Linked DNA regions of Caenorhabditis elegans. The protein of the gene in region 2 purifies or fractionates together with the protein of the main gene of each other region. This does not show direct contact. Each region holds a gene or a part of one and is shown on either strand. Other genes may lie near its edges.

Region 1 (3,756 bases), on a different chromosome or scaffold from region 2:
ATAGTGGAGATGCAAAAACTGCACAATCGAAACTCGGATCCAAAATGAGTACACATAAGAAAGCAAAGGCATCGAAGAGAAACAAGTGATTGGAACTAGACATTTCATTATCAATAAAGTTTTATGTGTTCTTCTGTTGTCTTATTTGTTGAGAAGACAAACTTCCATTGAAAAATTAAAGGTTCCAAAATGTAAAGGTGATGTAGTAATATTTGAGACTCTGCTCAAAAGCTTTTTATATGATCTAACAAGGCAATGTGCATAAGGGAAACATCACAAAAGTCTCCCAGAAAGATGTTATGATGTACAAAGTTCCAAATACTACTCTTTTCCTCGATCTAATTTGAATTCCGCGTGCAAATGATTTTTCAGATTCTCGGCCGTGTTCTCCTCTCGGGCAATGAACTTAAAAAAATTAAAGTTTCGGAGTTTATGCGATTCTTCGAATACTCGCATGATTATTTGTTTTTTCTGTTGAAATTTCAGAGTTTAAAACACATTTGATTTATTTCTAGAAATAAATTACTGGAAAATCAACAAAATACGGGATTAAATTTTAGCAACTTAACTGGATTTCAACTAGAAATGAAAAAATACCAAAGAAAAATGTTCTGAGCTCATGTAATTTCTTATAATTTTTTAAAACAAATTGGGAAGATTTTCGATTTTAAATCGATTTTTCATTGTCGCAAATATTGAAGGAAACTACAGTACTCTTTTAAAGACGCATGTGCCAAATTTTCCGGAGGTAAAGTCGCGCCGAGACCTGTGCAATGAAAGGCGCGTATTTTCGTATTTTCGTATTCTCATTTCACTTTTAGCCTTTTTGAATCACATTTTTCTCTTTTTTAGGATTAATTTTCGAAGCTTAAACTTAATTTTTTCGAAAATTTATTTATTCAATTTCCTTTTTCCACTTTTCCTTCCTTTTTTCCCAATTATATTTTCTCTTGCAGCCGTTCGATTCCAAATGGTTCGACAAGACGCCGGAGTGATGATCGGAGAAGATGCTCTGTCCTACTGCTCAGGGCAGAGCACTTCCGATTCATCATTTCGAACAATGAAATCGACTTCATTATCGAGCTCCTGGCATTCTATGGCATCTCCACACACTTCTGACGTACAAGGCGTCTCGTTCTTCCGGCCATTCAGCTGGTTTGTATGGCGTCAGACTGAGAAGGACTTGAAGAAGAAACAGGACAAAGAAACTGTCGATGAAATAATGAAGTGCTTCCGGAACAACGACGTCGACGGAATGGAGAAGTTTGTTGAAAAAAAGACTCGCGAGTCTGTGTCGTCAATGAAAAACGACGAGTTTTGGTGGGATGACGACGAGATTTCGTATTGGAAGCATCGAACTACTCCAGCACAAGATGAGCTTCCTGAGGATCTAATTTGAATTCCGCGTGCAAATGATTTTTCAGATTCTCGGCCGTGTTCTCCTCTCGGGCAATGAACTTAAAAAAATTAAAGTTTCGGAGTTTATGCGATTCTTCGAATACTCGCATGATTATTTGTTTTTTCTGTTGAAATTTCAGAGTTTAAAACACATTTGATTTATTTCTAGAAATAAATTACTGGAAAATCAACAAAATACGGGATTAAATTTTAGCAACTTAACTGGATTTCAACTAGAAATGAAAAAATACCAAAGAAAAATGTTCTGAGCTCATGTAATTTCTTATAATTTTTTAAAACAAATTGGGAAGATTTTCGATTTTAAATCGATTTTTCATTGTCGCAAATATTGAAGGAAACTACAGTACTCTTTTAAAGACGCATGTGCCAAATTTTCCGGAGGTAAAGTCGCGCCGAGACCTGTGCAATGAAAGGCGCGTATTTTCGTATTTTCGTATTCTCATTTCACTTTTAGCCTTTTTGAATCACATTTTTCTCTTTTTTAGGATTAATTTTCGAAGCTTAAACTTAATTTTTTCGAAAATTTATTTATTCAATTTCCTTTTTCCACTTTTCCTTCCTTTTTTCCCAATTATATTTTCTCTTGCAGCCGTTCGATTCCAAATGGTTCGACAAGACGCCGGAGTGATGATCGGAGAAGATGCTCTGTCCTACTGCTCAGGGCAGAGCACTTCCGATTCATCATTTCGAACAATGAAATCGACTTCATTATCGAGCTCCTGGCATTCTATGGCATCTCCACACACTTCTGACGTACAAGGCGTCTCGTTCTTCCGGCCATTCAGCTGGTTTGTATGGCGTCAGACTGAGAAGGACTTGAAGAAGAAACAGGACAAAGAAACTGTCGATGAAATAATGAAGTGCTTCCGGAACAACGACGTCGACGGAATGGAGAAGTTTGTTGAAAAAAAGACTCGCGAGTCTGTGTCGTCAATGAAAAACGACGAGTTTTGGTGGGATGACGACGAGATTTCGTATTGGAAGCATCGAACTACTCCAGCACAAGATGAGCTTCCTGAGGATCATAAATACACTCCACATCCATCGAAAGGATTCAAACTCCCTCCTCGTGTGTTGAAAGCAGTCCGATTCGAATTGGATAACACTCCGGAAGATCGTCAGCCACGGGTGAGAATATTTATTTTAACAACTTTATGCTAATTTTGTTGTTTTACAGCCGTTCACACCACTTTACACCAGCACGCCGAAGAATCCTGCAATCAATGAGGACGGAAGTGACGACGAGTACAGCTTGGTTCCATTGAGATATTGTGACTCCAACACAGTCGCTGTGCCAGCTGCAGTCTTCAACAACACTTCATCGATTCTACTTGATAATGCTGTAATTATGACAACGTTGAACAAGGTAAATTTCTTGAGTATATAATTTTATTGAACTAAAATCTTATTTTTTTAGAGTCGAGAGGAAACTAATGAAATTCTGTGCAAATCATTGAACAGAGATTTCTACCAGCTGGCCTATGTCGACTCGGAAGACGCTGAGCAAGACCACGGAAAGCCCGAACAATCAACTCAGAATCCCCTTTGCAACACATATGTCGTTCATTCGTCAGAGGAAATGTCATCTGAACCAAGCAGTTCGACCATCAACCTAGATCAAGCCAATGTTTCTGATGATGCGAGGAGCGCCATTCTGGGATTGGATCGTGTGGAAAATGCCATTCAGCGTGCACTTGCCAACCAGAATGGGCCAGAACAAGGACTCGCTAGGCAACTTCGAGAGCGCATCCAGAGCATCAAAAAGAGCATCGACGAGATCTGCAGCGAATGTCCGAATGGCCCGGAAATCGACACTGATCGTGTGAGCCGGGAAAGTGACCACGACGTATCCGCCGACTTCGAGGATTCGGATTGGCAGCCGCATTTGGAATCCGATGTCGGAAGTTTCGACGAATGCATGCTGTAAATAATATAAATTTATATTGATTAACTTGTAAAATACTCACCCATCCCGCTCGTCTTAAGTTTATAATTCCATGTCAAATATTATTATTCACAAGTGATCACATGTACTATAGTTTTATTGCAATATATTTTATTCTCGTCAAAAATAAAGACGATTATCACTTTAAATTTTATTTTGAAGGCGTCACTGTTGTAGGTCAGAAAGAAGCGGAAAATGGATTTGGATAAGCCGAAGTTGTACACTTACGAATGCTCCATAGCAATTTTTCCATATTTATTCACTGAATCATGCATTACATTTACTTTAAAGTTTCTTTTTTCTATTCAGATATTGCTCTTCATGCTATATTATCTGTTTAGTATGTAGTAATCGAAATCCAGTTAAACATTACACGCTTTTATTTATCAGGC
Region 2 (3,756 bases):
TTTTCTGATAGTTTCAGTCGTGCTAAAAGGGTGCTAAAAGTCATTGCTTTTCAAAACATACAAGAATCAATAAATTGAAAGTAACATGTTATTCCAAAGCTAGGCAAGAGTTTAGCTAACTGTGAACATACAAAAAATCTCAAAAGCGTAGTAAATTGTAATAAAGAACTGTAACGTTCTGAAACCCTAACAACCTGCAATTATCACAAGTCAGACAACCTTCGAAACGAAGAGAACACAGAATTTGAGTGATGATAGTTTTTTGATAAATAGTGTAATGAGACAGAAACATTTAAAAAGTTGATGAAAGAATAAGAAAAAAGGAATGAGAAAGAGAGAATGAGTGTGATAAGCGCAATGGGAGGTTCTATTACTTGAAAATGCCACTGACTGTGAAATAGAATATCAGGGAGACATAAAAAAGAATCGCCAGGTTGACTGATTAATCACTAGATTTATTGATATATTTGACGACGGAACTCTCCGTTTTTTCTCTTTTTTTTTCTCCATTTTTTGTCTTCACCTTGACAGATTATTGGTTTGTGACATACTAGACGTGCCGACTAACTGTGTGAAATACTAGAATGTGACCTATATAGTTGTGAAGACTGGACGAACGAGAATTCCAAATTAGCTCACATTCATAATCTCAGTGTTTTTGTGTTTCCCTGCCCGTCAGAAAGTTTCGAGGCCATTAATTAATTTCTAGAAAGCAGGTCGACGAGTGAACAACAAAGATTTTAAAGAAAATGAAGAGAGATGAATTTTTTAAGTGAAATGAAATAAATATGAGAACTTTTCAAGAACATTGATTTGCCAAAAACCAAATCTTAGTGGTATTTGCACTATTTGTCATATATTCACTGTTTATGCATATACCATAAATAGAGAGCACTTAAGAACTCTTCTTTCCGTTCTTTACACGTTCCGCTTCTCACAGATAGTATCGCAGAGAAGAAAATCTCTCTCAAAAAAAGATTACTCACTTTTTCAGCCGTTTAGTAACTTCCTTGATATGATCCTTATCCACGGAAACTAGATATGCATCCGTTATCATACGATTCGAATTTGTGCCTGAAATTAAACAAAAACTAAGTATTAAAAAGGAAAAAGTATAAACTTTTTTTTACTCACAGTTAAAAACAGAAGCTTCATTTTCTGCTGGAATTTCTAATGCACGACGTCTAACTTTCAGCTGAATGATTTTTCGACGAATACACTGAAATTTGAAATTTTGCAAGAAAGTATCATAAATTTTATCAAACTTCTTGAATATAAGTTGTGACTTCCTCATAACTTTTTCCTTCTATTTTCATGTCATTTACCCCAACGATTTCATCTCCAATGCTCAATCCTGCTCTTTCCGCAGCAGTTCCTGTAATGGAAATCGATTATTTTTTCAGAAGTCTGCATAAAATTTGTAAAGCACTTTATATCTGATTTCCAGACACCTTGAAAAAAGCGAAAAAAATTGCGATATAGGTTAAAAAAACGCCCACTTTGCCGATGCCATCAACGATTTGGAGAATCGCATTAGTACAAATGTTCGTTGACAAAATTTCAGTAAAAATTCATCAAAATTGCAAATTATTTCAATAAAAATACTTCAAAATGTTTTTATAAATTAGTCAAATAAAATTATCTTTTACTTACCGTACAGCCGAACAACCTTCTCTTCTCGTTCAACCAAAATTACAAAACCACTCAACGGCGTCGAAGTGCTCACAACGGTCTTCTTATTTCCAACACCACGTGCACTGCTCAACCGTCTCAAGGATGTCCTTTTCAAGTCGGACAGTGCCTGTGGTATCGACACCGACTTGGACATTTGATACTCGAGCCACTAGATGAAGGCTGAAAATTTTTTGGGAATATTATTTCCAACGAAAGCGAAAATAAGAAAATGAGAATCCAAATTTCTGAAAATAAAGCAATAACTGAATCGGAATGGAATTTATGAGTAGGTGAAATGAAAAAAGTTGTTTTGAAATCTCGTGGTTTTCATTTTGAATGATGAATGCTAGGATTCCGGGATCTGCTCAAAACTTGGATCTAAAAATAATCATAAACTTGAAACAAATGAATAGAAATGTCAGAATCACTCGAAAAACTGCTACTTCATGTAAGCGTTGTTGCGTGAATAATTGAGACAGAAAAAGAACCGAGAAGAAGAGTTGTGATGAGTGCACTTTCTTAGTTAATTGCTTTTTTTCTTTTCTTCTGCAATTGTTTTTTGTGTTTCAAGAGCTTAAAGAGGAATGGGGGATAAGAACTAAAAGACTTGAAGCGCTTTTGATGAGATGGACTTTTTGGGGTAAATTGGAAAAAGACCGACAAAAATGGGAATAGTTGAAGAGAAAATTCAAAATAACAAAAAAAGGGAGCTGTGTATAAGGGGTACTGTATGTCTTAAAGTTGAGAACAGAGGTTATGGACAAAAAAATAATCTTAAAGTTATCTGAGAAAGTTACGGTATCATAGAACATATTTGCCAGATAACAAATTTCTAAATTGTTGCCAAATTAAAAATGCAATCTTAATTATTGACTCACGAAAAGCACAATTAAAAGACTCCACATATCAATACAATATTTTTATCTGTAGTGACATTTTCTAGATTGATAAAAACAGCTACTTTAAAGATTTTGAAAGTAAATTTTAAGTTTTTCCTTTGAATTTCAAAAATACACTTCTAAAATTAGGCATATCAGTGAAAGTTTGCGTATTTCAAGGAAAACAGTAAGTGCAGCTGTCAAGCATGCTGCAAGCAATTAAAATTACACACACTCTCTAAGAATTCATAAAATTGTCTTGTCACGTTTGTTCAATCAAAAAAGATGAGGTCTTCAAAGTATCCATGAGCTCAAGACACACGGAATGAAGCACTAAATAATAGCTTTTCCCGGGGATAAAAAATTGAACGAGACAGATGAAAACAGTGGTCCAGATTGATGATATTGACATTCATTCCACTAGTTCAGTGTGACAGGGAGATGGATAGATTGGGAATGAAAACTGGATGAGAGAGCTTGAGATTTAGAGTGACAAATAATTATGGGGGATCCTCTTGAGAGAATCGCACCGAAACTATGTGCATCGTGTCCGGCAGAGGGAAACTAAAAAAAAAGATTTTTGACGCCATTGGTGTGTCTTCTGTGTCTTTTTCCACAGAGTCTCGAGTATAAAAAGTGAGAACGAAGAAGATACAGATAGTCGAGGATGGGGCAAAGAGAGAAAGGAAGATGGCGGTGTGGGTGGGAGAGCACAAGAAGGTCCAGTCTGGGGACAGAAAGAAGCACATGGAGCAAGAAAGAGAAAAGGAGATGGTGAATTGTGACATTCGACCCGCAGGGATTTGAAGAGACGCAGGCCGCATAGAAAGAACAAGCTATAAGATAGAGAATAGCCAGCTGATTAGTGCTGATTTCATTGATCAGCTCATCTATCTTCAACATGTCGTCTTGTAATTTTCTCTGAGACAAATTACGCCGATCTTCTATTGTGACTCTCGTAGCTTTGAAAAAAAACCAAGACAAATAACACTACTATTATGGTTAAAGTTCGTAACTTAAAAAAAAAAAACTTTTTTCACCCGCCTCTCGGATCTCAGTCATTTTTAGGCTAGTTTCGAGTTTGATGGGCATATTTTATTTTGTATAGAATGCAAAAAACAAATATGGATTTTGAGAATAAGTTGTGAGAAGATATTGTGAAAAACATAAACGTCCATCGTTGATAATCTTCACAAAACGTTTG

What was found.
Region 1: the proteins of magu-2 (region 2) and kca-1 purify together in Caenorhabditis elegans (affinity purification with western blotting, with the first as the bait; one study listed by BioGRID). This does not show direct contact.

The regions. Positions count from the first base shown.
Region 1 is NC_003279.8:4,759,574-4,763,329, reverse strand, and holds kca-1 (Kinesin Cargo Adaptor), read left to right. Parts: upstream 1-2,008; 5' UTR 2,009-2,022; coding exon 2,023-2,547; intron 2,548-2,596; coding exon 2,597-2,785; intron 2,786-2,836; coding exon 2,837-3,346; 3' UTR 3,347-3,510; downstream 3,511-3,756. Other genes in the region: kin-35 (Protein kinase domain-containing protein), read left to right, coding at 1-89.
Region 2 is NC_003283.11:8,799,169-8,802,924, forward strand, and holds the start of magu-2 (MAGUK p55 subfamily member 5), read right to left. Parts: upstream 1,861-3,756; 5' UTR 1,829-1,860; coding exon 1,654-1,828; intron 1,376-1,653; coding exon 1,266-1,375; intron 1,220-1,265; coding exon 1,135-1,219; intron 1,075-1,134; coding exon 987-1,074; intron 1-986.